Linked DNA regions of Lepisosteus oculatus. The protein of the gene in region 3 purifies or fractionates together with the protein of the main gene of each other region. This does not show direct contact. Links are inferred from orthologs where the notes say so. Each region holds a gene or a part of one and is shown on either strand. Other genes may lie near its edges. The genes, in order: l3mbtl2, coiled-coil domain-containing protein 71L, chromobox protein homolog 3-like and mgaa.

Region 1 (7,363 bases), on a different chromosome or scaffold from region 3:
AAAAAAATAATAGTGGTAATAGTAGTCGTGTCAGTGGTAGTATAAGTAACATTAACAGTAGTATCAGTGGTAGTATCAGTGACAGCAGGGGCAGTGTCAGTGGTAGTATTAGTAGCAGTAACAGTAGTATCAGTGGTAGTATCAGTGACAGCAGGGGCAGTGTCAGTGGTAGTATTAGTAGCAGTAACAGTAGTATCAGTGGTAGTATCAGTGCCAGCAGGGGCAGTGTCAGTGGTAGTATTAGTAGCAGTAACAGTAGTATCAGTGGTAGTATCAGTGACAGCAGGGGCAGTGTCAGTGGTAGTATTAGTAGCAGTAACAGTAGTATCAGTGGTAGTATCAGTGACAGCAGGGGCAGTGTCAGTGGTAGTATTAGTAGCAGTAACAGTAGTATCAGTGGTAGTATCAGTGACAGCAGGGGCAGTGTCAGTGGTAGTATTAGTAGCAGTAACAGTAGTATCAGTGGTAGTATCAGTGACAGCAGGGGCAGTGTCAGTGGTAGTATTAGTAGCAGTAACAGTAGTATCAGTGGTAGTATCAGTGCCAGCAGGGGCAGTGTCAGTGGTAGTATTAGTAGCAGTAACAGTAGTATCAGTGGTAGTATCAGTGCCAGCAGGGGCAGTGTCAGTGGTAGTATTAGTAGCAGTAACAGTAGTATCAGTGGTAGTATCAGTGCCAGCAGGGGCAGTGTCAGTGGTAGTATTAGTAGCAGTAACAGTAGTATCAGTGGTAGTATCAGTGCCAGCAGGGGCAGTGTCAGTGGTAGTATTAGTAGCAGTAACAGTAGTATCAGTGACAGCAGGGGCAGTGTCAGTGGTAGTATCAGTGCCAGCAGGGGCAGTGTCAGTGGTAGTATTAGTAGCAGTAACAGTAGTATCAGTGGTAGTATTAGTGACAGCAGGGGCAGTGTCAGTGGAAGTATTAGTAGCAGTAACAGTAGTATCAGTGACAGTAACAGCAGCAGTATCACCTACCTGCAGCTCTGCGATGGGGTCCTGAGGGGAGCCCACATGCCTCTCCACACTCGCCTGCGACGCGGAGCCGTCTGCTGCAGCCGGCAGCCAGCTGGGCGGCGCTGGAGCTGCGGAGAACACAAGGCACAGCGGCTTCCATCGCATCCCGTGTGCTGACCGACACCCTGGGTTCAGGCCCAGTCTAACACGTCCCGAATGGATGAATAAACTGAGCAATAAACAGTCGGCATCTGTGATTCACCAGAACCGGCAAGTCACTAGCAGGAACACAGCCCACATGTTCTTACACGCTGTAAAAAAATTAATAACGAGAAGGCTCAATGCTCAAGCTTACATTACTGTAGCAAATTCCAATCAAACTGTTGCAATAAAAGCAAAAACACAGGCCTTAAGTTTAAAATTGTGGACAATTTATGGTAAAAGTTAAGGTGTGAAGCACAGTTAATTCCCCAAAACGGTTGGATTCGATCCTCTAATCGGGACGGGGGGGCTACTTTACGCAAAGGGCGGGAGTGGGGAACAAGCTTCCCTGCCATGGTTTTGATACCCTGGCTTTTGCCAAGAGGTGTCCGGTTATTTATGGCAGACAGATCTGTTAGTTACTGAAAAAGTAGAGCCATCAGTTACGGCCTCTTCTCCTCTGTGACTGTCCTCATGTCGCCCCCGATCTCCCCGGGCCCTGACCTCACCTCGGGAGGGAGGGGACAGATGCAGGACCCCTCCTGGGACTCCGGGCTCCTCTTCCCCGCCACCCTCTTCGCCAGTGGGACCCGGAGCGCCGCCTTCCGGGCCAAGAGGGGACGCCGGCTGGAACAGCAGAGGCTCGGGCTGCTTGGGCGCGTCCAGCGGCACCACAGGCCCTGCAGGCTCAGCACCGGGGGCCCTGCAGGCGGGAGAATGGAATCCTCTTCACTTTTATCCCACTAGTGATACGGCCAGCAGCTCCACCACCCTGCAGCTCCCAGCCGGCAGCCCCACTGGAGCCCAGCAGGGTGAGCCTGGCCAGTACCTGGAGGGGAGACTCCTGGGGTCAATTGAGGCTGCTGCTGGGAGAGGTGTGAGTGGGGCCAGCAGGGGGCGCTCACCCTGCGGTCTGTGTGGGTCCTGATGCCCCAGTATAGTGACGGGGACACTATACTGTAAAAAGGCACCGTCCTTTGGATGAGACATAAAACTGAGGTCCTGACTCTCTGTGGTCATTAAAAATCCCAGGGCGTCTCTCGACAAGAGCAGGAGTGTAACCCCAGTGTCCTGGCCAGATCCGGTGCCCCATGGTCCTGCCTGGCTCCCTGGGAGAACGCCACCCCCTCCTGCCTCTCGCAGGATGCTTACCGGTTCCTCCTCTTCTTCTGCGGCGTCCAGGCCCGCGGGCCGGTGGCCCGGGTCTTGAAGATGGACGGGCCCCTGTCCTTCTTCCCCTCCGCGAAGTGGCAGCTGCAGAGCCTGGAGAAGACGCTCGGGTCTTTGTCCTGCCGCCTGGAAGAAAAGACCGGCTGGTTGGCCTGACCCTCAGTTCAGGTGCCTCTAGAGGGCCTCTCTGTGTGTTTGTGGGGGGACAGGACAGGAACAGGACTTGTAAGGCAAAGAATCGCCATCCTATTGTTCCTGAACGACACATTTCACGTTTAGAGAAGCTCACAGAAACTACAACCAGACAACCTAAAGCCTTCTGTCAAAACAGGCAGGGGTTTGGTCTGTCACTCAATAGCTCGATACTCTGACGCAAAACAGGCTGCAGGTTTTTCAGAGGCATACTGGTGAAACGAAGACACCTGCCATATGTCACTTTTTAACTGTTTATCCCGCAAAACGGCGTGCCAACCTGCATCGCTCTTGCCAAACTCGGAACTGCCTCAGATCCTTGGGGAAACGGAAGAATTTGCAGGTTTCTCTTTCGCTGTGATGGTTGCAGTCGGGGGCAAAACACTGGACCATCGCAAACGCGTCCTTCTGCGGCGGGCCGGCAGGCTGCAGGTACAAAGTCAGGCTTCGTGTGGAACCGCAGGCCCTGTTGTTATGGGGACCGTGATGTCACAGCTCGCCGCCGGAAGCGACGGCCAGCGCAGGCGCTCAAGAGCCAGGGTTCCCAGAGACAAGATGGCGGCAGCGATGGATGTGGACGCCCCGAGCGGGACCAACAGCGGAGCCAGCAAGAAGCGTTTCGAAGTGAAAAAGGTACTTTGAGTAATTCGAGGAGGAAAAATTAAGGACGGAGGGACGGAGAGAGATTAAGTTGATGACTGTTGTTAATCGGTTGTAACATACAGGTGTTTGGGGAGTAATACTGGACGCTTTGCGGTGTTTTTGCGTGGTTAGCTAACGATGGCTAATGGGCTTACGGATTTATTTCCGTAGGCTTTTCTGAGGGCGCCAGCTTAAACTATTTTTGTCGGGCGCCTGCTTTTTGAGAATAACAAGTGTGTATTCGTGTTTCAGCCGGTTCAGTTCTCCTCGCTTTTTTTGAATGACGAAGCTGTTTCTTTTCTCAAGCGCCGACAAAGCTGGTCGGGAGGGAAAAAAGCAATACACTTTTCAGCACCTCGGACACGGTTTACAGCACCAGATGCCCCTTTTAATAAATAATAATTAATTAATGAATAATAACAACAACAACAACAACAACAGCGCCCAGTAGCGCCGCTCTGCCGGATTACTCGGCCCTCCCGATGTGAGGCCGGGCGAGACTCACGAATGTCGCAATAACAACATGCAGGCAGAGAACACGAGCGGGTGGACACATCTCGAGCGGGTGGCCGGTCAGGGTCAGCCAGGTTGGTGCATGCACTGTCAGTAAGTGAAGTGTTCTGTCTTTCCCCCCGCTGCTAGTGGAATGCAGTAGCGCTGTGGGCCTGGGATATCGTGGTGGACAACTGTGCCATCTGCAGGAACCACATCATGGACCTGTGTGAGTAAATGGGAGTTCTACTGTACTGACTGCAAAACACTGACAGCGCAGAGCTGTGTGAATGCAAGGACACAGTAAGAGTGCACAGACATGAATTATACTGTTCTGACACTGATGCACTGACAGCGCAGAGCTGTGTGACTGTACAGGCATGGTTAGAGTGTTGAGACTAATTATACTGACTCCAATACACTGACAGCCCAGAGCTGTGTGAATGCACTGTCACAGTATGAGTGTACAGACATGAATTATACTGTACTGATGCACTGACACAGTATGAGTGTACAGACATGAATTATACTGTACTGATGCACTGACACAGTATGAGTGTACAGACATGAGATCCAGACGCTGGTGTCTTACTCAGGTGCCAGTCCTAAGGTGCCTCTGAAGCTCACAGGGTAACACGCTGCTGTGTTTTTCTCTCTCTCTCTCTCTGCAGGTATTGAATGTCAGGCCAACCAGGCTTCTGCTACGTCTGAGGAGTGCACTGTGGCCTGGGGCGTCTGCAATGTAAGACTGAGCGCTCTCCCTCCCTCCCTCCCTCGACCTCCTCTGGGCCTCATCCGCACAGACGCCACCGCCACGCTGGGCTCTCCCAGACAGCCGGTTTTCGCCCTGTCTAGCCCCTCAGAGGGGCACACGGGTGGCACTGGCGCCGTGTGAACGAACAGAGTAGCCGCGAGGGGGGTTCCCCTACGGGCGTGGGGGCGAACCCGCAAACGCCCCGCCCCCCTCCTGTAATCCGTGCCGCTTGTCTGAACCCCCCTGTCTGGAAAGGGGGGTGTGGAGATGAGTGGAAACAGGAGCCAGAGCTGCCCCCGGTATCTGGAACCTGAGCCCCCCTCCCCCCCCCCCTGCTCGACCGACCTCTCGGAAAGACCCCCAAGCTGACCGCCCCTCCTCTCCCCTTGCTCTCCCGCAGCACGCCTTCCACTTCCACTGCATCTCGCGCTGGCTGAAGACGCGACAGGTCTGCCCCCTGGACAACCGGGAGTGGGAGTTCCAGAAGTGAGTAGCTCCCCTGGAGTGTCCTGCCAGGATAGACAGGATCCCCTGCCGGGCATCCCTGCCTGGATAGACAGATACTTTATTGATCCCGTGAGGGAAACTGCAGTGCAACAGCAGCTTAACACAGAAACAGTGTAACGAATGATACAATAATAATAATACAGTACAATCAGTACAGTGAGAAGGGCACCAAGAAGAGTTACTCACAGTCCAGAACACACAAAGAACAGAACAGGGCTCTCTCCTTCCTGCTCATACTAAAATAGTTTAAAATATGCTTTGGCACCAGGATGGAGTTTTTAGGCTGGGGGGGGGGGGTGTGTATATATAGAGGAGGTCTGTTTTGTGAATGAACGCCCTTCCTGGCTAGCCTGGGCGTGAAGAGCAACACTCGGGATGAATTGTGGAATGTTGATGAGCTGTTTGTCCAGTCACAGTGCTCCCAGAGACGGGACCGAGCTCGGTCTAACGGTTATTGATTATTCGAGGTAGCACGCTCTCCTGCGGCACTGCGATCGAACCAAGAGCTGATTAATATTCATTCGCGTCTCGCGAATCGCGTTCTGGTAAAGGCGAGCTGTACGCTTGCGGGGCGCGCAGTTTGTAGAGCAGGTGTGCAGTCCGTGTCTGCCAGGACGAGAGGTGTGTAGCGTGTGTGCACCTGTGTGCTGGAATCGGGATCGTCTGGTGTGCAATATCCTGTTCCCTCTGGCAGGGCGGGCGGGTGGGTGGGTGGGTGGTGCTGTTACCTGGTGTAATGATTGATTTGTGCTTTCCTTGCCCTTGCAGGTACGGACACTAGGGTGAAGGACAGTGGACTGGGCAGTGGCTACGCTACAGGTCGCTGGCGTACAGCCCCTCCCTCCTCCTCCTCTCCTCCCCTCTGCACGCGGGCACTGGCCCCGGGCCTGGCCCCAGCTGTTGTGTGGGGTGCACTCTCTCTCTCGACTGCGTCTCCCCATGAGCTGGCATGAAATAGTCTGAGTTTTTTTTTTAAAAAAAACACGTTCACGGTCCGTTTGTAAATTATAAATAAACCTCTGTGTTCAATGTAAGGAGGCTTCCTGTTGTCTGTTTTTTTTTTTTTGGATGGGTGGAGCAGTGGTTCCCGGTGCTGGTTCTGGTGACCCACACACCTGCCCGTTCTTCTTCCAGACCCAGTCAGAGGCTTTGTTGCCGTATCCTGAACTGTTTGTTCGCGGCTCATCAATGCGGTCAAGCTCTAACCGGCGTGTTTGTTTAACGTGAAATTAAACCCCAAACTTGTGACTACAACCACAATGCAAATATTCCAAAGAAGACGGGCTTTGATTGTCTAATTTGGGGGGGTGGAATGGAACCGAGCAGGTGTGGGGGTCACCAGGACCAGGATTGAGGGAGAGGGCAAAGTAGGAACAATGGGAGATGTAAAAGTGCGTTCTGTGATGCAGGAATGCTGTGATCGTGGGTGAAATCTAACTGAGAGTGCAACTAGTCTGCTGCACTTCCACTGCCCTGGAGCCAGGTGAACCTCTTTCTACACCAGTGGGGTTTAACCTGCTGTCCAATATATACATTGTGTGAGCTAAATAGGAAACAAAGATAGTGCTGTACCACTTTTCTTTTGCTTAAATGGATTTGCATATCGCCCCCCCCCCCCCCCCCATAGCTGTGTGTTCTGAGGCCGTGTGACTGATACTGTGGGGTGGAGCTTGGGTCATGTGACCAGTTGCCTCTGCCCCAGTCCTGGTCCTGGGGGGTCAGTCAGTGTGTCTGCAGCAGGGCTGTCTAGTCAGTTGTGTGAACTGAACACAGCCCCTGCCGTAGTATGGGCTGATGATTTAAAAGCTCCTGAAGATCAAGGTTACACAAAAAAACACTCCAAATGACTCCAGAAAAAACATTTTCATGTCTTTATTTTTTTTTAGATTTGATTTAATTCATTTAATTCCCAACACAAAAGCTAGATATTTAGTGCTCTTCTCCATTTCAGAGAGCTGTCCTTTGCTTTAACAATTAAAAAAAAAATCTTGAAGTAGAGAAGTAAATAGGAAAGCTGCAAGTTAAACCTTGGGTTTGCACACCTGGATACACCAACAAACATCGCCCACTAAGGGGGCAGTTAAATATTCCCTGGGGTGCCCTGGACAGTGCTAGTTGCCTCTGGATCTTATCTCCTGAGTGGGTGCTTCAGGTATTGGCAAAACCTGCCCTTAGTTGGACTTCTGCAGTTCTTGATAGCCCCCCCGTTTTAACATCCTCCCCTGAAGGAGAAGGGGGCAGGTGGGATGCTCCCAGCTCTTTGAGGTTCTGGATACAGACTTCATCAGGGCCTTGCGTAGAGAGAAAGGTGTCCTGGCAGGGCAGATCGCCCCCTCCACCCCAACAGCCACAGCTGCGCACAGTGTGCTTTCTGTCATTCACTAATCCTCACCTGCCCTGCCCCCCCCAACACCCACTTCCACCCTATACCCCCACCCCCAGCTTTAGGGCT
Region 2 (7,709 bases), on a different chromosome or scaffold from region 3:
CTACCTGGGATGTCTCGCATGTGGCATTCTAGAAAAATATATCTAGCTAAATATTAAGGATTGACATCACCCCTTTTCTTTTCTTAGTACCACCATCCACGGTCTCCTCTATATATTGTAATTATGTTTTATCTTGTGTATTCTTTTTATTGTTGTTGTCATTCTGTAAAGCACTTTGAGAAGCCACCTTTAAAGGTGCTATATAAAATAAAGTTTATTATTTATTATTATTATATCTGACCCATAAATGGAAGCACTACTACCTGTTGGTGGCTAAGCGTAATTTATGGATAGTAATAAACAGAGGAGTTTATTTGCCATATATATATGTACAATGGGATTCGTACTCACGACGTTCTCTCAGGACATGCACAGTACAGCAGACAACACTGTACAACAGATAACACCATACATTGTGAACAGTACATTACCAAACAGTAAATAATAAATAATGGCAGTGTGTACAGACAATCCATTCAAAAAGAATGCTAAATACATGGTAGAAAGTGGTAACACTTGCCAGAGAGCAGGGAGGAGAACAGTTTGTGGCCAAGATGGTTGAGATCCTGAATAATGAATTGGGCTTTACCGCGACAGTGGATTATGTGAATCTCACCGAGTGATGGCAAATCACATCCTGTAATCGTCTGTGCCGTTGCCACAATGCTTTGTCGTGTATGGTAGTCATAGTAGGTAGGTAGTCAACATACAGTGACGCCACTAGTGAAGACACTTTCTATGGTGTTGCGGTAAAAGTTCACGAGTAGCTGTTTCCCCATACCGCAATTTTTTAGGCACCGCAGAACCTGAAGGACCTGTTGTGCCTTTTTCAGGCTGGGCTTTGTGTTCTGAGACCAAGCCATGCTGGCCAAGATCTGCAATCCAAGTCTCCACTGTTGTGCACTCAATGCTGACTGGGGTGTGACTCTCCCTGGGTCTCCTGAAGTCTACAATGAGTTCTTTAGTTTTTTTGTCTTGTTGACAACAATTTGACCCTGAACGTCAGGGCAACATCTTGTAAGATGATCCACCTCACTCTTATGAGCTGACTCATCATTGTTACCGATCAGCTCAATAACTGTGGTGTCATCAGCGAATTTGATAATATGGTTACTGCTGGTGAAAAGGGAATATATCCTAAGACTGAGACAGCAGCCTTGGGGAGCTCCAGCGTATAGGATCACTGTGGAGGAGATATTGTTGCCAGTTTTCATCATCTGAGGTCTGCCCGTCAGGAAATCCATTATCCAGTTGCAGATAGGGGTGCATAAGCTCATATTCCTGAGTTATGGGATCATTGTGGTGTGAACAACTGTGTTAATAGCCGAGCTGCAATATATAAACAGTATCCTAACTTAGGTTCCCCACCTGTCTAAATGTTCGAGGGTATTATGTAGTGCTAGAGAAATGGCATCATCAGCTGACCTGTTTGAACACTAAGCAAACTGAAGTGTGTCAAGGGAGTCCGCAATTTGTATTAGACAACACAAGACTTTACAGGCACTTCATGACCACTGAATTGAGTGGCACTAGGCGGTAATGGTCCCATGTTTTTCTTGAGCAGTGAAACACCTCACCTGGCTTCAGGACTTTGCTCTTTTACCCTGGAACTTTCGTGGACGACCCTAGAACTTGTATGTTGCTCATACTGTATGCCATCATCTGTACATAAAGTTATTCATTGTATTGTACTCTGTTGGTGAGGCAGGCAGTAATCATTTACTGATCTTTCTAGTAGGTGTGATTGCAGAGCAGAAGGCAGATCACCCACTACTGTCTCATCTGGATTGAAGTGCAACATTTTTCTTTACAACATCCAATCAAAATCTAGGTCTTTCCTAAGGATGGGATCAGACCAGTCTTTTTTTAAAAGATCTGGAGTATTTTTTTCCTGGTGCAAAGGAAGGTTTGATCTTATATAGATTAGTAATTTAAGTTGTTTAACGCCATGAAAATGAGCACCAATTAAACCTGGATCTACTGTATATTAGGCTCCTTGGACTCCTTTTGATGGATCCCAATTGGTGTTGCAAGAGTTGTGTTCGTGCATCTATTTACAGAGATGTTACCTGCTGCAGTTTTTGTAAATGTCGTTCATTGCTTGCATGATAAGATTACTATGCTGCCCTTTGTAAATTGATCTAAGACTAAGTAGACGTTAAGTAGAGCTGAGCTTTCTTTCAATTTTACTATGGATGTGGTTGTGTCCTAATTTATTTCACAAAATTATAAGGGAACTGCTGCTACTTGTTTAATTGTGTATTACCATTGACAAACTAACATGGTCTAGAATTTACTTTGTTTCTTTTGAACACCATGTAACACAGATTCTGTCCTGCAGATAAAATATCCCAATGAATGGGCATTATTTGCTCTTTCAAACTGTGCTGTGTATTTATTCATCTCTTCTTGCATTGTATACAGGACTTTAATTCTTTGAAAACCTGTCCATTGTCAATTTCCAATGTGATAGCGCAATCAATGGGATTTACTACAGGACTGCTTGATTCAAAGCAGACCTAAAGATAGTAGCTGCAGGAAACAAAAGTTATATTCATTTAGTTTCAGGTTTGATTTTTGTTCATCCGGTGGTTCTTTTTCTGATTGTTTTCTAATTGTGTAAGTAAGGCATCTTCGGCAACCTGATTCTTTCAGTTTGCTAGTTCTGATCATGAACCTCTTTCCTGAAATGTGATGCTTTCCCCAGTTTTTTTTCCCTAATTGTGTTTTCTGCCAATATGCTGGATATTCCTCAGGATGCGTACTGTGTTTCAAATGTATTATTTCCTCATATTGATTTTCATCCCTTTGTAAATTTGAGGCTCAATATATTATTGAGAACACAGCACCATGAAGAGATCCTCGTGTATTAAAGAATGAATTTTCCTTTCTTCAGTTTTAGGTAAGCACAATAATGCTGTGATATTTTCCAATAGCAGGAACTAGGTAATTTGCAGCAAAAGCTATTTTTGCCAACTTGAAGTCCCATGTTTCATAAAGATGTAGCATGAATGAATTTGGTCTGAAAGTCTAGTTTACAATATAAAGATTAATGTTGCCACACATATCCAGTCATAAAATAAACATTTTGCAACTGAAAATGTGTGGCAACATTAATAAACATAAAATAAACATTTTGTAACGGGACACGTGTGGCAACATTAATCTTTCATAATAAACATTTTGTAACTCCAGAAAGGAACTCACCAGAAAGACATCAGTAGCCAAGATAATCGTTATACTTGGCTCACAATTTCTCTCTTATCTCAATAACAAACTAATTTCTTTCATTTACAGGTTTCAGGTTTTCACAAATCCCTCCTAAATTTGTCTTTGGATGCTCTTTCTTATCTGCTCTGTGCCCATTTTCACTTACTCTGATTTTAGTTTTCCAATGCTTCACATTCCTGACACTCATACTACACAACTGCCAATGTTAATCTTTACTATCTTCACAACAAAATCTACTTAAATCTCGATTAATTGACCTTACTTGATATGATTAAGCATGCTTTAAGTTTCATTACTTGGTTTTTGATATTCTACACTGGAATATATATATATTTCTCTGTAGGGTGAATGACTAATAAACTCTGAAAAGATATCACTAATATACAGGTTCCGTTTATAAAATAACTTGAAGAATAATAGTGTGAATTTTTTCAGTTAGAACTGTGTGTGTGTTTATATGGAAAGGTTGCTCTCAAGGAAACTCCATAATCCTAGTAGTTGTTTCTTGTAAGAGATATGTGTGTTTTATTGGCCACAGTAAGTTAAAAAAGCAAAGCATCTGTCTTTGGCTTTTAACACTGACTTTATATGCACAAATGTATAATAAGAATCTGTTTAGACAGTTCCATTTCCTCACTTTGGGCCACAGATAGAAGTAATTAACATTAATTCCCATAAATCATCTGTCTGCATATATTTTTAAAAGGTTTCCCCACATTATGAAACCTGCTAAAAAAGCAATACTCTGTATCTGATAAAATTGTGTTTTTTGGCGCTATTGTAATGTTGAGAAAGAATGTAACAAAGTAATTTGAATTTAAGAAAAATGTTAATACATCTCAACTAAAGACCACCAGGGAGACTTGTAAAACTGACGAAACAAGATTTGTTTCTTGCAAAAACTCTTACGTGGTTGTATTTTTTCATGCTTAGAATTACTTTAACTAATTAAGTATTAAATAGCAAAAATACAATACATTTTGTGATCTGAACTGCTATTGTTGCTTTACAGTTAAACAGTTAGTATTCAGGAGAGTTTATTTTACATAAAACATCTCTCTGAACGGGAATAGGGTGCATTCTCAGATTTGGTCCTTAGATTATGTCTTCTATGACAATTTCAAAAATAGGTTGTTTTAGTAGACATTGTCAATAATACTTGGTAATACTTGATTTTGTCAGGTGGGGGGGGGGATTTTGCAAATTGCCTTTTTTTTTCTTCATTCAGAAAAAGATGGTGCAGTTGCTTCAAAATCATATTTCAACTAAACACTTGTGTGAGGATTAATGTAGTTTTGAGTTACACTACAGATTCTAGCGTCCTCGATTTTATAAACAACCTTTACAACGGAAACAAAATCATGGAGGCAGGGAATCCTGGGATACAAGTTTGAATTTCGAGAGGGAGGGGTTTCTGTGATGATGTAATTGAAAATTGCTTTATAAAGTCGTCACGTCCGCAGCTGTCTCAGCCATTTTGTTCCTTTCCAGAAGAGTGGATGTATATCGCGAAACTTCGGCTCTAGCGGCAGCTGGTGGTAGTGCGTCACCGAAGAGGGTCAGGAACCAAGCCAAAAAAATCAAATGGAGGAGGAAAAAGTTGTGTTCTCAAGATCTAGAAATTCACTCCTTGGAGAGACTGGGGCGCTGGAAGAAGCCTTTAAACTTTTCATTCCTCCCATCAAAGACTTTATAGCTAATTCCGAGGACGAAATATGGGATTTTCTTTGCAGCTTGAGGCACGAAGGCTTTTCTCCTGTTATTCTGAGGAGTAAGGATGTGTACGGGTATTCATCCTGCCGATCGGTCGTGCCGGATAAGAGGAAGGGTGAAGGCGAAAGTACTTCGAAAGTTGTTTCCAAGAAGCCCAAGGCTGTAGGACGACGCGTGAAGAGGAAGCGGGGCAGAAAACCATGGACATCGAGCAAAAATAGGAAGAAGACCGGGTCTGGGTCGCGGACACGAAACTCGCAGGGCACAGCTGGCGTGCACCCCTGTCAGATGAAAGATCTGGAGGAAATCTGGAGGGCAGCAACTCCTCAGTTGATTTCTGTCCGGTCGGTGACGCTGGAAGAGCTCTCTTCGGGAGATGACATACCTGCGGCGAGACGCAAAGCTGAGAAACTGATGAATGTGAATCTCACTCCCGTCCTCAGGCTCAGGCGCTTGGTTATGCCGATGTAACATGAATTCTGAAACCGGAATGGCTGCTATTACGACAAAACTGCACTTTAAACGGAATTCTTCCTGAAACTTTACCTTAATATTGTATTACCTTATGTAATTCCCTGGGAAAATAAGAAGCAATGGAAAGCACAAAAAAGTGAATTCCTAATGCTGCAAACTTGTAAAAAAACGCTTTTTTCCCTCATGTGTGAAAGGACGTTTTTCTTAACTTCTGGAAAGGCTTAAATAGTTAAGTCTGAATTTAACTTGTATTTTAATTCTTATGCCAAAATGGTAATTACCAGCTACGTTTTTGAAGTCACCAGCTCACGAGACAGTTTGTCCATTTCTACATGGTTTTTACTGATGTACAAAACAATTTTTGAGTGACATACTTTCTACTATATCTTGGAACTCTGTCCACGAACCAGCAGTGTGAACCCCGATGGGTTCAAATCTAAACTATACGTGTAGGAGTGGAAGGCAACCGAGGGCAAGAACTTTTTGTTCTGAACTTCGGCTGCGTTATCTTTATTCAGGGGTCGAGTAGTGTGCGAACGCAATCAACTCCGCGTCACCCTCTACGTCACTGTCGCCGGAACAAAATTACAGAAGTCACTAAGAGGCGTGGATGGACAGATATATTGTCACCATGTCGGCACAGCATGTCAGTATGGCGTTTGATGTATTCGCACGTCTAAACTGTGATAGGTTTCAGTCGAAGTGCACACTTTTAACCTAGTTTAGTTGTTGCAGCCAACAAGACTGAGTTCTTTCATAAATGGTAGTTTTTTTCCTCAAGTGATATAGTGTCTTATTTATTGTTCTATATGTCTCTGTAAACACTCTTTAGAATTTTGTGTCGTTTTATTTAAAGCATTTGTCAAGTTTAAAGTACAAGTTTTTTTGGGGGGGAAATGAGATCTCGAGTAATGTAGCAGGTATAGTGCAACTTTGTGGAATCGTTGATATTTATTTTGATTTGAATAACTTATGGAACCACATCCTGCAGCTGCCAAATTGGACACATGATTGCGTTTCCCCTTTATTTCGGAATGTAGCCATAATGCAAATAATGGTGTAAATGAAGGGGAAGGTGAGCAGGTTTTTTTATTGAAATCCTGGCATTGATGTCACAGCACTCATTTTTTTTATAACCCCGTATGTTTAAATAACTCCACGAAGTTCCTGTCGGTCTTCATTCATCTCCCACCTTCCAAAGATGTGCTGGCTGTCTTAGAATTTTTGTCTCTAAATAGTCCATTTGGGCCGGGTAATGGTCTGGCATCCCACCCGAGGCGTAGACCCACTTCACGCCTGTGCTTCCGCTAATGGCTGTGGGTTGCTGTGACCCTTCCCAGGAATAACAATGGTTTCTGAGAGTGGATATCTGGGCAAGGCTCAGCTAAGGCCAAGCTAAAAAAAAAAAATCCAGTTTTCCATTGTCTGCTTGGTGGTTTGAAAACCTTACTGGATGTAAAGAATGTATATATAATTTGCCATTTTGACGGAAACGACTGCACTCTGTATTTTTAATGCAAGAAAATCCTACAAAAAGTACAGATGGGTGTTTAACTGTATCTATTATAGATACAGCAACTGAACACGCAGCACAGAAGTGAGCAGATGCTTAGCAATGTTTGGGGAGGCTGACGAAGATACACAGGGCTGGCCTTGATTCCATGGACACGATGGACTGTTTGGAAACGATTAACATTTTAGCGGTGGTGGTACAACAGGGTTCTGCAACTTCTCGTATGCAATGTTAAAAGGGCTTTCTGAAAATGTCTTATTTATGCTTTGATCTCTTCGTTCTTTTTATATTATTTGATATGCTTTGGATATTTTTTTTGTACGTGGTCTGAACTGGAATCTTATCTTTGAAATAAACTATTCTGTAAATTGTACGAATGTGTTGTCCTTTCCGTTTTCCTCCTGTGTGTGTATATATATTGGTTTTGATTGTTTTACCAACAGCTTCCGGTTTTGGCTTCAAAATCCATACTTTTGCCAAATTCAACAGCAATATGTAAAAAGAACTTGCTTTCCCCGTGGCTAATGATGTATTGTTTTCAAGCCATAATGAGGCGGACTTTTCAGAAGCTGGCAACGGGAGAGTACACGTTGCTGGGGACAGTTAAACAGCAGATGGCAATATTGTTCAGTTCATTCCGACATGCTCCATTAAAACGAAGATCGCAGGAGCAGTTGCGTATTTGGGGGTATAATAAATTTGAACGCCATCTTGGAAAGGAGAGCAAAAAGATAGTTGGTAGCGGCTGCATTGTGATGTCGAGCTAAAACAAAGACGC
Region 3 (7,904 bases):
TGCAGTGTGCTTTCTTCACCGAGACTGGGACCTCCAGCAATTCACTCTTCAGCGCAGCAGGCCACGCGACAGCACTTACAGCCTCCTTTTTCTTCTTGGCTTTGCCTTCTTCCGACTCGCTCTCCGAGACGGATTTCCTCTTGTTGGACTCCGTGCGCTCCACGGTGGACTTCTGCGAGGCCAGGAAGGCTTCGATGAGCTCCGGGCAGTCCAGGTTCTCCTCTGGCTCCCATGTGTTATCAGCGCTACAAGAGGCAACAGTGACACTCACTCACTGTAGGAACACAGCTTCCAACTCAGAACTACAGCACTTTTACTTCACGACCGAGCCTGGCGCAAGTAACCGCAGTTTCCTAGTAAATCCACTCGCCGAGAACTCGGGTTTAGCATTTTAAACACACTGAAGAGCTCACTGGCTCAGCCGAACAGATCTCTTGAAACGCGGGCTTGACTGAATACCTGCACAGTTTTTTTTAATCATCAGAAATACAAATTCCATCACTCTTAGAATGTTTCAGTGTATTACACAATCTGGGGAAAAAAAACAGAACACCAAGTACAAAAAGTGAAGTGTTATTGCACTAAAAAAGGAACACGACAACAGTCGTGTCTCTAAACAGACCTGGGCAGTGAGCCCCAGGCTCCAGCGCCACTGTGTGGAGTCGGGTCAGAGGGAGAAGAGCATCAGCAGAGCTCTGGTGAAGAGCAGGATTACACATTCATGCTCAAAGACTTATGACTTTGGAACCTGACCCTTTGGAGATTGATATGTGAGGAGGAGAAACTTAAAATCCATTTCACAAGGGCTCGAGGTCAGAGTTCACGTGTTGAGCGCTTTTCCTTGGTACACAGGCTGAAGACTATTCACTCCCACATTGCCAGCTTTGGCAAGAGTGCTCAGAAGCCATATTTCCCCAGGAATTGCTGAAAAACCGTTAACCAGAACCCATGCAGCCAACCCCCACCCTCAGCACGAGACTCGCACTTACTCCGTGAAGCCCTTCCACTTGAGGTAGTATTCCACTTTGCCGTTCACCACGCGGCGATCGATCACCTTCTCCACCACGAACTCCTCGGGCTCCGCCTCCTCCGTCTTCTTGTTCTTCCCGTTCTGCTTCTTTCCCATGGTGCCCTGCGGAGCCGGGGGGGGAGAGGGGGTCAGTAACGAGAGCCGAGTTCGATGTGCCACTCCAACAACCCAAACTGCAACGTCCCGGGATGAGCAGCGGAACATCGAGAACGAGGGGAATGTCACGCAGGTGGAACAAACCGCAAGTCCTTCCAGCTGTGGAGCTGCACCGTACTCTCTCTCCACGCTGGACAGCAGCCCATACAGAAGTACTAAACCCTGACGCAGGGCCCTAACACAGCCTGCAGCTCACCAGTACCTGGAGGGGAGACCTCCTGGGAAAGCTGAGGTTGCTGCTGGAAGGTGTTAGTGGGGCCAGTAGGGGGCGCTCACCCTCCGGTCTCTGTTGGTCCTACTGCCCCAGTACAGTGATGGGGACACCATATTGTTATAAAGGCGCCGTCCTTAGGATGAGAAGTAAAACCTAGGTCCTGACTCTCTGTGGTCAGGAAAAATCCCAGGGCATTTCTGGAAAAGAGTAGGGGTGTAAACCTGATGTCCTGACGAAATTTCCCCAGGCTTCATCACTCTGCTCTCCTCCCCACTGAGGGCTAGTGTGTGGGGAGAGTACTGGTGTATCATCCAGGTGGGGCTGCACACTGGTGGTGTAGGGGATCCCCATTACCTGTAAAGCGCTTTGAGTGAAGGGTCCAGAAAAGCGCTATATAAGTCTAAGGAGTTATTATTATTAACAGCAAGAGACGTTGCCAGGGGTTATCGCACACCTGTGAGGTGCGGGCACTGTTCGCGAAACCCGTTAGGAAACAGGAGGACTGGTCCTCCCCGACACACCGCAGGACGGGCTACTTTCCCCAGCTGAACCCCCCGGAGCGACTGCCGCGCAAGAGCCACTCCGGCGTCGCCGCCTTTGTGCAGCTGCGCTGCAGCCCCGGGGCCGGCTTGACCCTTCCTCCGGACATTCACCTCAGGCCCCGACTCACCGGCGCCGAGAGTCATTTCATTAGGATATTACTTCCACCGACACCGTCCCGGTTTCCCTCCTTTTTAAACGGAGAAGAAACACGCTTTTTCCAAGATGGCCGGACAGCATAGCATGCCCACGGTCTCGGAGAGCCCCGGCCGAGCCGACTCACGCCGGACACCCGGGGAACAAAGGGTCGTCGGGACGTCCCAGCCTGGCCGGGTGCCGAGGCCTCCTCGTCTAAGACACCGAAGAGTATTAAAAACCCCACCAGACATGGACGGGGGATCCCCACAAGTTTAGGGGCTTCCCGGCATCCGCAGCACAGCGGCGCCGGCGTCTTCGGACACCCGGGACCGAGAAGAGCGGCGCCCCGCAGCGGGAACAGGGGTCTCCCACACGAGGGCTAGACCCGCCTGCAGCCCCCGGCCTGCAGCCCCCGGCCGCCCCGCTCTCCTGCCACAGGGGCTGCTCAGCGGGTATCGGCGTCTGAAGTGTTGTTGTGCACAAAATCCCCGAGAAGAGAAGTCGGATCACAGCGTTCCCCCCGGGCGGCCCTCCCGGGACAGCGGGGGGGGCGGCCGGTGAGGTCTCCGAGCCGCGGCTGCGGGTCAGCCCGGCTGCACAGAACTGCCCCCGGCCCCTCGCCCCACAGCCCCGCCGCCTGCCCGCGCCGAGCGGCCTCTTACCTGCGAGCTGTCCGCCTGGCGCCAAAACCCCCGACCTCTCACAACCCGGCCCGCAAACTGCTCCCCGTCCGGACCGCCGCTGACCAAGCGCCCTTGCACAGCACAAAACAGCACAGCCCTCACGCTCCGAGCACGCACTAGTCTGACCCGCTGCTTATTTTTATTCCTCTTTCTTCGGTTCAAACGCAAACACTATTCTCCAAGGAGCGCACGCCGCTTGCGTGACGAACTTCACAATGGTCCCGCAGCGTAAGAACCGCGCGCAGGGGAGCGTAAAGGTGAGAGTTCACAGGAGGTGACGTCACGGCTAGCGTCGGGTCTCGCAAGCGTTTGTGGGATACTGGTGGTATCAAGTAGAGTTCGCAAGAGGCGTGGCCATCAAATTATTTCACGTTTGCAGATTTTTTTTAAACAAGAGAAAAGGTAACAGTACATGCACTGCTGCTAATCCACACTATGCTTCTTTCACACCGTTCTTTGGTTTCCAGATGCTCTTTATTCAATAGGCACCTGATTGCTGTTAAGCCCGTTTCCAACTGTTGCACTGGGGCGGCAAACTTTCTGTAATAGTTAAAATTGTACTGGAATTTTGTCTTCATTGTTGATATCACTGAGGACACACAGGCCGTAAGATAAAATATATAAAACTTATCTTTGTTGTTTTCATTTATTAGAGAGTTTATTGCACACAAGGCAGAGCTGTCTCACAGCTCCAGAGTGTTAGAGCTTTCTGGCTCCTGTCTGCATGGTCTGCCTGCATTCCTGTGGGGTTTTACCAGTTTCTAGATCAGCTCTTCCAAAACATTGTGTAAATGTAACACTCCCACCTTCAGGAATGGTGAAAATAGTGTCAAGGGTTTAGCCTGACCTATATGCTGCTCCTGTGATTCATGCATCTATTAGGCATATATCAAACAGGTACTTCATCTGGACCTCCCTGTAATGAGAGTTGTTGACATTAGAAAGTTGTAGGCTGTAGCTGTGGACCTCATAGCTGGAGTCTGGGGATGCAGGCTGGACACAGGATCATTCTCAGCCGCGCCCATCCCAGGATCTTGGGAAACAGGCGGAGCGGAGTCCGAGGACAGGGCAGCCAACAGAGCGGACGTCATGGAAAACAAAGACGGAGAACAAGAGGAGTCTGGCAAGAAAATCAAATCTGGTGCATTCACCCAGAGCATGACCTGAGAATAAAGAGCTGTAAGGGCAGGAACTACAGCCAGATCTGTACCAGACGTAGTGAAGATGCCTCTGCTGTTTCCAGCTCTCAGAGCTGATCTGTACCAGACTGCCTGAAGACATTTCTGTGCCTCATGTTTCCTGCTTCTGAGGTATCGACACAAAAAAAGCCACGAGCCTTTTAATTATGTAAATAGAAAAACACTGCAGTGAAAAGGAAGTTTGAAATGACTGAAAGACTCAGGGTAAACAGTTGGTTTGTTTCAGTTTTTATTTTTCTGCAGTGCATCTACAGTATAGGCCACCAGATTCATTAAAAACACAACATCAAGTCAGAAAGCACCAGGTAAGTAGTATTTTTAATCCAAAGTCCATAAAAAAAGATAATTTAAATCAAATAGCATAAATTAAACAGAAAAAAAAACTATGCTAAGAAACAACAACAAAAATAAAAAAATATTGTTCATGGTGCAATTGAACCCAACTGGAACCCAAGCATTTCAGGAAGTGCTTCTCCTGCAGTTTGCATCCCCACACAGAGCGGAGCCAACAGAGCAGAGGGGCAGCATGTGGACTGACAGGGGTCACTGCCCACTCCCATCCCCACAGCTTGGCTGCCCTGGTGTCTCGCCTGCCAAAAGCTTATTCTCAGCCCTGCATCTGAAGCAGATTGGTTTCATTTCCTAGATGGTGTTGTAGGTCTAGGTGGTATAATGGCATTATCTCATCAGTTTTGTAGATCTGATCTTCAGTTATACAGACTATCCAGGGCCTGCAGCACAGAAGGACGACCTGTGTGATTATTATGCACAGCAAGGGCCTGGATACAGCCTTCAACATAAAACCTGAAAGGCCCGTGTCTTTGTGAAGTTGGGCACCAGGGTCAGCTGGCTGACCTGGGCTGGCACCGCGATGGCAGTGGAACAGCGAGAGAGGAAGGCGCCGCCCTGGGCGTGCTCACCTCACTGGGAAGCAGGCGAGGGCGGGCAGGAAGACACCTGAAAGGCTCCGAAATCAAACTAGAGCGGAAAAGAGGAGAACAGAAAAAAAAACTTATTTTCAAAACTCCATGACTGCAACTGGGCTCTGTACCTGCTGGGATTCTGTCACAGTGGCTCGTGGACCAGAGCAGAACCAGTGCCACCCGCTGCACAGCAGCCAGCTGCACGGCGCCAGAACACCGGGTCACCGCGGGACAGTCGACACCGTCCAGGGTTCAAGGGGGTGACATGAGCCCCGAGCCCTCTGCACGACACAAATACACTCGCAGGGAGGTCGGAACGCCTTCAGTATGCCATGTCTTTGTCATTTCTGATGCCATAAGAACAGCGGTAAAGATACAGTGCCAGGTACTTGCACCCGTTTCTCAGAAAACGTGTTCTCTCCAAGAATCAGCCTGGCATTTATCCCAGTTTGCAGTCACAGAAACCCTAGTGCAAATATTCCAGACAAGTAAACACTCATCAAAGCTGATCCATTATCAGTGCAGACCACCACTGTCTCGGCAAACCCGCAAGGAAAATAACTGGTTTTGTGCTTTTCATATTTCAGAAGAACATAAGAAAGGTTACAAACGAGGTCCGTCTGGCCCCTTTTGGTAAGTTTTTAACCTTTCTGTGTGATCCCATCTGATTCTTTACAAAGTACTGTATCGAAAGTCATAAAAGAAAAAATAACCATTTTCAAAACTGTAATACATAATACAAACATTGTAAAATATAGTGCATATAGAAAATGCAGCTGTTTGATCCACAAAGCGCTCTTTGAAAGAAGCCTCCCAGAACATTAAGGCCACTTAAAAAAAAGTTTGAACTGTTTTTAACGGTGTTCAGTTACTCTCCACTCCCACGAGCTGAAGTTTACATTAATCAAGCATTAATCAGCTCAGTGAAGGCATTTGTTGGAAGTTTGTAATGTCTAATGTTGTATAATCGCACTTGGAATTTACAGACTTTCAGTAAATTGAATAACCCCGAGTAACAGAAAAGAATCAAAAGCCGACGAGTCAAGTCAAGCTATTAACTAAACCAGTAAGGCATGTCAGAACCGTGAGGTCACAGAGGTCTGAGTGACGATCTGCTGTGGTACCCCCCCGTTCGCCTGGAGACACATGGCCAACGCTCACCTGCAGACTAGCTGCAGTACAGGTGGAGATCTTGCCGAACACAGGGAGCACAGTGGTCACCCTGCCTGTACTGCCTGATCGTACACCCGGGAAAACTGCCGATTTCAAATCCAGTTCATTTCGAAGGCATCCAATGATTTCAGTCTGATGACTGAAACGGAGGATGAGGATCTCTGCAACACCCCCACAGTGCAGTCAGTGCAAACTCCTTACTCGCTTGTGTCCGAGGGAGAGAGCAGACTCAACCTCGTGCAAAATGGAGGAAATATTCCTGTGAGCAAGGACAGGGAAACATGTTCCATCAAACAACCGCTCTCAAAGACTGTGATGTGTTCTACACACATAGAAATGTCAACCTGAAATTATGTGCTGAAGCCATTAGCCCATTTGAGTATTAAAATGCTACATGACACGCATGTCTGCAGCCAGTACTGTCTTTGAGTTCCTGATGAGGAGTAAAGGGGAGTAGTGAGAATGTAGTACAGTAGGCAGCTGGATCAGCATGCGCAGTCTGCAAAGGAACAGGTGACAGGTTAATTCCATACAGAAAGCAAAAGAGAATGTTTCAGCCTCTTCAGGTGTGCCTCTTTTAACTTCCAGTAGTGAAAAAGAGCCCTGCTGGAAAACGGTGTCAATGAATAATGCCGCAGGGTGAGACGGTCAGCTGCCGGCCTGAACTAGTGGGAAATCACTGGTGTGGCCTGTGCCGCAGGTGAGCGGCACGTGTACTCTGCGCTCCCAGACTGTTAAACACGTGCGGGAACCTGTGGGGCAAATGAGCTGCACTGTGGGAGGATTGGAAACCAGTGACTTTCCCAGGTCAGCCGGGCGTCTGCCTCCACGCGCCGCTACTCACTAAAGCGGCAAACCAAGGGTCTGCATTTGGACACTGTCCTCAGACCGGTGGACTCGTCCACTGTACATTTCTACCGTGTTTCCAGTGTTAAAGCTACATTTATTATTCCCCTCTCAACTTAAAAAGCCCCGGTTTCACTTCTCCAGAAGAGCAAGAGCGTCTCGGCCTTCTTCAAAGCGCCCCCCGCCTCTGGGCCGGCCCCTCTGACCGCGAGGGGGATCGCTGACCGGTCCGGGCGCCGCGCGGTCAGTGCTGCTTGTCCTTCCTGGCCCGGTCGGGCCTGCGCCGCTGCGCGCCGGGCCGGTGGGGCACCAGCAGCACGCTGCCGTCGCTGTGGCACTGCAGGGCGTAGCGGCCGGGGCTGACGGGCCTGCCCTGCTCGTCCCGCAGGCGGCGGAACACGTCCCGGTACAGCTGGCCCAGCCGCTGCTTCAGGCAGCCCAGCGACTTGCTGTGCTGGGCCCGGTCGCGCAGCAGCCGGTCCCGGTGCCGCCGGAGCCGCTCCACCTCGCCCTCCAGCCCGGCGATGGCGTCCAGCTTGCGGCGCCGGCAGTTCTGCGCCGCCACCTTGTTCTTGCCCCGGCGCCGGATGTCCCGAATCAGCGCCACCTGGGCGTCGCTCAGCTGGAAGCCGGACAGCAGCTCCAGGAACTCCTCCACGGGCATGTTCACGATGTCCTGCACGGACAGCGGGAGGTCCAGCGCCCGGGCCCTCCTCTCGTCCCGGCTCAGCTCGTCCTCCTCGCCGCCTTCCTTCTTGACCGCCCCGAGGGGCCCGCGCCCCGCCTGCTGCCCCCGCGGGCCGGACCCGCGCTGGGGCGGCGGAGAAGAGTACGTGTGGTCGTGCAGGACGCCCTGGGCCAGCTGCGCAGGTGAGCGCCCCGTCCCCTGGGGGCGACGCTCTTTGAGGCTCCAGGAGGCCCCCGCGGCAGCGTCCCCGGACAGCGAGTCGGAGTCGGTGCTGTAGCCCACGGCCCCCTCGTCCTCGCAGTGGGACAGCGAGG
Region 4 (7,740 bases), on a different chromosome or scaffold from region 3:
GAGTTCTCATAAAAACATCAAGGGGCACAGCTACCCCAGGACTCTTATGGGTACATTCCATATGTGGGTTATCAAGGGATATTAAAAGTAATGTTTTGTTAAAGAGATTTTTTGATAACTCTTGCTCTGTTGTCAGTTTTCACAACTGTGTGTAAATATGCTGTCATTACTTAAAGATTTTAATACTTCCTTAAATAACTGTTACATGTGTAAAAGTTGAGATATTAAAAAAACACATGAAAAAGATTGATTGGTCCCTGGTGTTCTGTTTATTCGTCTGTCGGTGCATCCTGTAGAGTCACAACAGACAATAATCGGTACAAATATACCAACCAGTAAATATTTCAAGGTATTACCAGCTTGTTTGTTCCAAAGGAGATGAGATTTTAACCCTGGTGTTCCAGCTAACTTCCACTCTTGTACATGCAGGCTTTCCAGACTTCCCCTAAACTCTCCTTAATTCAAAATCATTTTATTCCATTTTTTTAAATCTTTTTTAAGTGAAAGTATATTAAAAAGGCAATGTTGTGCATTAACTATAACATTGTTAAGCATAATCCTAAGCAAACAGTATTTTAGCCAATCTAGCGTTAAGTGTACTAGATATGGTCCCAATTACTTTCACAAACCCACCTGACAAATCATTTTGCCAGCAGAACGTTTTGAAACGCTGGCATCGCAAATCCATGGTTTTCTTTTCCACTGGCCTTACAATATAAACCCAGTGAGTGTTGTTCATCGTGTAGAAATGCATCATCACAAACAATATTTATGAAACGTCTTTTCAAGAGGTAATTGTTTTTTGTGAAATTTCTCGTAGGCTGAATTCCAACGTAATGTATTGTGTATTAAATTAAAGACAGAGATGAGTATTTCAGCTATGTGTACTTGTAAAAAGCGACATAGACAGTCGGCTTATTCGGTGTGTACGGCTCGTCATTGGATAGGCTGGTGCAAGATACCAAGTGCTTTATTATCGAGACGCCCTGCTTTTATGGCCTATTTGTCCCACAGCCTTAACCGAGGCTATGGATATATTTTATACACAGTCCCTTAGTACTGAAGACTGAATTGATAGTATGAAGCAGAAACTGCGATTCACAACATCACATCTCATTAAAAGCATTGAGGAGAACTCCTTCACAACACACACCCCCACTCTAACCTAACATGTTTCAGTCTCAGTGGAGGATGGAGCTCTCCCCAAACTTCCTGTTGACAGGTCTGCTTCAGGAGGTTCTACCTGTGCTATTTAACGCTTTAAGTGTGTTGAAGATCGGCTTGGTTGTCTCACTACAGTAACAGTTTCATTTTTTATCCGATATGACCATATATGATCTTAGACGGCCTTCTTTCAATTTCAGGCTGTCGGGTCAAGATACATTCTGAATCAGCCAGGTCTCCTTTCCACAATGATAATAGAATTAACCCCTGGGGGTGGGCTCTTCGACGCTTTTAATTATGCCAATCGCTCCATTCCGAAGCTCTGTTAAAGGTTGATCGGAGCCATCTCCTGCTGCAATATCGCGTGGGACAAATTTGCCTTGTGTTGTGTTGTTCATAAGTCACATTTCATGAGAGAAACGAAATGCTCTCTGCCTTAGATTTCTCCCTGCGCGTGTTGAAAGCTCAAACACGTTCTCCCTATCACGTGACCAAAAGAAGCTTTCGTTTTCTATCAGTGACGCTGAACGAAGCTCTATACCGACGGCGACAGTCGGTTCTGAATGCTTTATTTGGCTTAATATAAGTCTTCAGGCACGCATTGGGTACAAGTTGAGGGTTTTTTTCAGACGCCGAGTAAAGTTTATTAATATTCTCTACAGATCTGTACACACTGGTGTTCTAAGAAAGGCATCGCCTTATCAGCTCACACTAAGCCTTCAAACCTAAGGGAACGTGCACGAAGTCAGCGACTGCTTTCTTTCATGACACGAAAGACGTTTTCTCGTTATCTTACGTGCAGTACGAGCGGATAACAAACAAAATCACATTTTGATAGAGGAGAGCCCAGCTTTCTTTGCGAGCTCATTTCAAGCTGCCTCAAAAAGAATTATAATAATACCTGGTTTAAACTGCACCGTGTACGCAGACGTGGAAATAAAATTAAACGGAACAACGCATTCATCCTAGCAACGTTTGTAGGTATTTAAGGACACTGACGCTTCTTTTTTCCTGATTATACATTTTCCTGATTGAGAGTATGAGAAAATGCCGTTGGACTATTCATAGGGGCGATAAATTATTCATTTACGTTCGTTTAATCTGATCCTGTAATGTAGATCACACTCCACTACCATTTCATATTGTGAAAGAATAGGCTACATTAAAAAAACATCCTCTCCTCAGCTCAGTCCACATACTGTGTAAGTACCTTCTAATGAGCAATGAAAGCGGCTCAGCCGTCCGCGGCGAGAGGGCGGAAGGGGGGTCGGGGGAGAGTTGAGAATTTCCGGGTCTATCCGTCTATTATCTAGCCGCTTCGGTCAAATCGCTGCCAGGGGGAGCCGGAGTCTACCAACAGGCAAAGCGTACACCCCGGCGTGGACGCCAAGCCATCGCAGGACACACACTCAGACACGCACACACTCACACCAGGGCCAGTTTACGCCAGAACCTACCACTATGTCTTTGGGCTGTAAGGGGGGAACTGGAGCACCCGGCGGAAACCCAGGCCAGCACGGGGAGAACATGCAAACTCCACACAGACAGCACCCCAGGTCTTGAACCCGGGCCACCGCGACGCCGAGTTTCCGGGTCGTGTTTTTTTCTTCAATTGATTTCTCTCGTTACGTTTAAAGATTAAATTTGTGGAGGGGTGATTGCTGTCTGAAACCTAACAAATATCATCTGCTTTGCGACAGTGAAACTATGCCTTGGCAAATAAACTAGCAGGTTGTTTGAGAGGTACGGTAAATATAGTCCCAGAAATGTTCGTACGTTTGAAGGGATCTGAGGTGCGCCTTGGTGACAAAGACATAATTTAGGGTTTTTCTCAGCACTAGTTTTCGTAACTTTTCTTTCGCCATCATCCGCGGTCGCTTTTTCTAGCAGGTCTTCTCTCCAAAATGTACAGCTATTTTTTGACCGCAGGTTTATAATCCGATTTAGTAACGTGTAAATGTTAATTCCACGCCGAAATATTAAAAAAAGTAGAAAAACTCAAAGTGTGGTGTGTGGAGCCTTTTTCTAACACGAGGTGGGGAAGATGAAGAGAGTAGGAATATGATGCGCGAGGAGGGGGACCTTCTGGACAAACTAAAGTCTGAGAGACGAAGACCGAGGTGTGAAAACCTGAACTGGGTAAATTACTGGAGGGGTTTAAAAAGAAAACACTATCTCGGTGAGAACTGGTGGAAGGTGTGATCCTAGTTTAAAAGATACTTTTTGTTCCTGAAATTGAAAGCGAATACATTATTACCTTTAGGTGGGTAGCTGCGTCAGCATGCGTAGACTGCAAAGGAACAAGTAATAGGTTTATTCCATGCTGAAAAAAAAGAAGAGAACACAACGTTTCGGCCGTGGAGCCTTCTCACACCTGAAGAAGGCTCCACGGCCGAAACGTTGTGTTCTCTTTCTTCTTTTTTTTCAGCATGGAATAAACCTATTACTTGTTCCTTTGCATTATTACCTTTAGTTTATTTGGCTTCTGTGTATTTAACTGCGAGCAACTTACTTAAAACGTAAGTACTTAAAAAGGCCAGACACCATTTTGAACCGTGATCGGTCCTCTCACCGATTCTCTTAGATCTGCCCTTCAGGACAACAAACACTCTTGACGGGGGATAAACTAGTGACGCTTATTAACGTTAAACAGCAGGAGGAAAATGGGGGGGGACACATACGCGGCCACGGGGAGAGAAGACAAACTCCACGCAGACGTCCACAACCAATCCCAGGTCCCGGGAGCTGGGACACCGTCAGTCCAGCCCCAACCTTTTTTAAAATATGTTAAACCTGACTACTCAGCGCAGTCAAAAGCGGCATAGTGAAAAGTTAAAAAGTGAACAGAATGTAACTTTAATGTAATTTTAAATGGCGTAGACATTCTAAAAAAAATGGAAAAAATATTTTGTTTGAAACGAGTACAGTTTAATCGTGTAGCGCTTGCAGGTTCGCGGGTGGGCGGCAAAGCCCAGGATGGCTCAGGCTCTGTTCGGAAAACCAGCCCGGCTCTAGCGTGAGGCAGGACCAGCAAACGGCCGGCTCGGTCCCAACCTCCCCTGTGTCCCCCAAAAGCAGGACCGGACAGAGGCGTACCCCCAACACTCACAAGCACGGAACAACACTTAACGGTGAAAACGGCTGGAACACGTTGTGCTTTTCGTAATTGTATATAAACAAAAGAACAACTGAAGTGTTCTCTCGGAGACCCCGGGAACACGCTGGGCTCTCGTCGTGGGTTTGTCAACTGCGGCCACCGGAGACCGGGGTGAAATTCCGCCTCTTGTTTTCTCGGGGCAATAGTGCTTTGTTATTACAGGTTCAGTAACTCTGCGAGAGTTGCCAGAATTCGGCTCAGTTTCAGTAATTCTGCAAACATCCCTTTCTTCGGTGTGTTTTTTTTATGATATAACGCCTTAAAATCTTGTAGAATTGTAGAATTAGGGCCCAGTACTACATGTTGCGGGGTCTCATCTTCTCTGAATACACTGAAATCCCGCGTTATAGTCATCGATTAGGGTCATGACGAACGCGACTCGAGACGAATCCGCCTCTTGCCTCCAAGCGGCACCCCCGCCAGCCTCCTCTCACCTCCGAGGATCAATAGCGCTTAGCAGCAGCGCATGCTCGCTGCAGTACCGGAGCCCTGCACTCCCCTCGAGTTTCTCACCCGGTCCGCGCCTTCGCAGAGCCGTGCATGGGAGGACTGGCCCGCTTGCCAAAGTCTTGTTTTTCGAGGTAAAGCGCTCGCTTCTGCTTCTAACAGCGTGCTCCGGCTGGTTCGAGACACGCGTTTCGCCGGCGTCGATTTAAGCCGGCCGGCTGCCTTTAACTTAAAAGCGCGCAGCCCGCGGGAGGGGGAGGGAGGGTGCTGCCGGTGGTCACCTGACGACACTGGCACACGACTCCGGCGAGAGAGCGGTGCACGACCCGGGTCGCCAAACCTAGCGCCTGAGCACGGAGGCTGCTTTTAGCGCACTTCGAGATTTGTATTGAAACCGAAAAGAGCCTCTGCCTTCGACACCTTTTTTTTTTCCAGCGCTTTTTTTTTTAAAAAAAAACGGGGCTTTGAGTATCCGTGTTTCTATTTCGCCCTATCACCGCCCGCCATTCCCTCAAATGTACCTGGGACTGCTGCTGTTGCGGAGGGACACGTGACTGCCGGCAGCCAAGGGAAGGCCGTGCTTCCTTGTCGTCATGAGGCTCGCTCGAAACCCGTGTGGCCGCGGATTCACACTTATCTGTGTTAGGCGTGCTGTTCTTACAATGGGGGCACTGCACATCACGCGTTTAAGCGACACGTTTTGAAACAACGACAAAAAAAAGCTTGAGCGTGTGCAGGCGGTTTCGAGCCAATCCCCCCCCCCAAAAAAAAAATGGATGAATGTCCCTTGGCGATCTAGCAATTGTGGAGCGTAAAACCGTGGTGACCGCAGTTGTCAGGGGTCTTGTTTATCGTCGGGTCAGTTTAGGAATTCGTAGTCCAAAGTTTCCCTCTTAATAATGTCGCAGTTCAATTTCCATTTCTGCCGGTATTCGCCTGTGGCTCGGGGTGCATGTGACCAGGCAGTAGCCAATAGGACCCATCTCGTTTTCAATGTCGGATGGGCTGCAGCCTTCGAAAGAAATAGGTTTATCTAGCCGTGGACGCGGACTGAAAGACGTTCGTGTTGGCCGGATAAAAAGCTCAGATTTAATAAGCATCTTCTGGTTATCTGCCATGCTCAAAAGGTGTGGGAAATGGGTGTGAATGCTTATTGGCAGTGAAATTGGAACTTTCCTTCTCTCTTTTTTCTCGCTGTAGGAGCAAAACCCCATATCTGATGTATGTTATGCGTTTAATGTAATTGAACCGCACATTCATCTCCTAGTTCTCGCAGGAAAATGAAGGAAAAAAGATAGCTGATATTTCACGAAAGGCAGAACACACAATTGCAAACAACATTGTACTGTATGTAGAGATGTCTTTCTAAATATACATATAAATCGAATAAAGTATATGTAAAACAATAGTTTAGAGGAATACTGAAATATATAAATTCGATACTGTTTTAAATGGAAAGCAAATGACAATTACTATATTTCTGGGTTATTTAGTAAATTCAAGATTTATTTCTGCTGTGGCTGGTCTTGTATATGAATACTACACGGCCTAAAGCAAACCTGTAAAATAAATCTTTTATTCTCTTAGAATAATAGAATGCTGCTCTGTAAGCTTAGACATTGTAGCTCAAAGGTGACCATAACAGAAAGTTCACGCAATTACAGTTTAAAGGGCGAGCACTCCTTATGTTGTTGTTTCCAAGCGATTTTAGACTAACAGCTCTCTCGCCTGCGCTGCGGTTCGATTGTGTACTCAAATGCTGTCACTCGTGGACGTTGCTTCTGCTAGTTAGTTCTGTCATAGTAATCTGGCAAAACATAGTGTAGTAGCTCTTGCGCAGGAGCCGGTAGTTTTAGGGATTTTTCAAATGTAAGATTACTGTGCAATAGTTATCCCGAAATGTTGTATTTAAAAAAAACCCACAACTAATTAGTTGATTGGTGTCACTAGATAGCGACCAAGAGCTTCTAGTGGCAATATTACTTATACAGTATCTCTTCTCACGTATGTGCTGGCTAGAATGTATCTTTCTTGATCTCTTTCGTTTTTAAGTGTCGGTATGAAAAGGGGTGTTTGCTTGTTAACGCTGTTTTTGTTGAAATGCGTGCTCGCACCTCCACTACGCGGCTGGTGGGCTTCTCTCTAGGATGAACGAGTGTTTGACCTGTGCTTGGTTTTCGTTTTCTGCATCTGCTCTGTCTGCCTCGGTGCCCCGCTGTATCGGTTCTCACTAGCTGCTATTTTGTTTCACACGGCAGGCACCACGTGAAAGTATTTCTTTTGAACGCCGACCAATAAAGACGTTAAATCCCATTCGATTAAAGTGCATTCGCGTTTTTTAAAGGCGGGCTTTTCCTTCGTTGCTGCCGGTGCTCGCACAGATCCCGATTTTAAAAAATAAAAGCTTTAGCCGAGCTCGGTGCGTGCGCAAAGAGGCTTTGTATTCCCACGTGACTGGCTCCTGCTGTCCCGTACTGGGCAGAGCCTGCGCGTTAGGCGAGAACGTGAGCGTGCCACCACAAGGACTCTGACGTAGGTGACTGAGAGCACTCATGTTTTCTCCAGCTGGGTGAGACGTACGGAGTAAGAAGGGGGAAAAAAAAGAACGGAAAGAGCCAATGAGCAAGTCAAACGACGGTCGGATTTCGGGGTGATGTTTGCACGACTGGGAAAGGTAACAGCTCAGCGGAGCCGCGGTGGAGCGCGTTTGCACGGAGAAAGAGACGGCGCCTGTTGCCACGAGTTGGGTGTTGAGAAGATCCCCGAGGGTGGGCTCGCGCTCCCAACGCGTTGGCTGGAAGGGGGGGAGGGATTCACGCGCCATTGAGGCTGTGGCCGGGTTTTGCACGCGCTGGGACCGCCAGTCATGGTGGTGCCAAGGAGACCGCGCCAGGCCCACGCGCTTGGGGTTGGCATCGTCGAGGCGGCCAGAGGCCCGCTTCACCATGTCCTTCGACAGGCATGGGAGCGCT

The links.
Region 1: the proteins of chromobox protein homolog 3-like (region 3) and l3mbtl2 purify together in Homo sapiens (affinity purification with mass spectrometry; 5 studies listed by BioGRID and IntAct, with this or other methods). This does not show direct contact. The link is inferred for Lepisosteus oculatus from reciprocal best matches to the Homo sapiens genes CBX3 and L3MBTL2.
Region 2: the proteins of chromobox protein homolog 3-like (region 3) and coiled-coil domain-containing protein 71L purify together in Homo sapiens (affinity purification with mass spectrometry; 3 studies listed by BioGRID and IntAct, with this or other methods). This does not show direct contact. The link is inferred for Lepisosteus oculatus from reciprocal best matches to the Homo sapiens genes CBX3 and CCDC71L.
Region 4: the proteins of chromobox protein homolog 3-like (region 3) and mgaa purify together in Homo sapiens (affinity purification with mass spectrometry; 4 studies listed by BioGRID and IntAct, with this or other methods). This does not show direct contact. The link is inferred for Lepisosteus oculatus from reciprocal best matches to the Homo sapiens genes CBX3 and MGA.

Annotation. Positions count from the first base shown.
Region 1 is NC_090707.1:38,080,068-38,087,430, reverse strand, and holds the start of l3mbtl2 (lethal(3)malignant brain tumor-like protein 2), read right to left. Parts: upstream 3,007-7,363; 5' UTR 2,910-3,006; coding exon 2,797-2,909; intron 2,451-2,796; coding exon 2,307-2,450; intron 1,858-2,306; coding exon 1,664-1,857; intron 1,082-1,663; coding exon 975-1,081; intron 1-974. Other genes in the region: E3 ubiquitin-protein ligase RBX1, read left to right, coding at 3,072-3,149, 3,801-3,879, 4,322-4,392, 4,805-4,890, 5,680-5,692; st13 (hsc70-interacting protein), read right to left, coding at 7,356-7,363. UniProt on the Homo sapiens protein: Putative Polycomb group (PcG) protein. PcG proteins maintain the transcriptionally repressive state of genes, probably via a modification of chromatin, rendering it heritably changed in its expressibility.
Region 2 is NC_090702.1:39,616,335-39,624,043, forward strand, and holds coiled-coil domain-containing protein 71L, read left to right. Parts: upstream 1-4,709; 5' UTR 4,710-4,815; coding exon 4,816-5,415; 3' UTR 5,416-7,304; downstream 7,305-7,709.
Region 3 is NC_090705.1:811,724-819,627, forward strand, and holds the start of chromobox protein homolog 3-like, read right to left. Parts: upstream 3,016-7,904; 5' UTR 2,741-3,015; intron 1,133-2,740; 5' UTR 1,127-1,132; coding exon 990-1,126; intron 246-989; coding exon 80-245; intron 1-79. Other genes in the region: nfe2l3 (nuclear factor erythroid 2-related factor 3), read right to left, coding at 7,147-7,904.
Region 4 is NC_090703.1:12,651,893-12,659,632, forward strand, and holds the start of mgaa (MAX dimerization protein MGA a), read left to right. Parts: upstream 1-4,732; 5' UTR 4,733-4,787; coding exon 4,788-4,902; intron 4,903-7,287; exon of another isoform or gene 7,288-7,442; intron 7,443-7,471; exon of another isoform or gene 7,472-7,536; intron 7,537-7,740. UniProt on the Homo sapiens protein: Functions as a dual-specificity transcription factor, regulating the expression of both MAX-network and T-box family target genes. Functions as a repressor or an activator.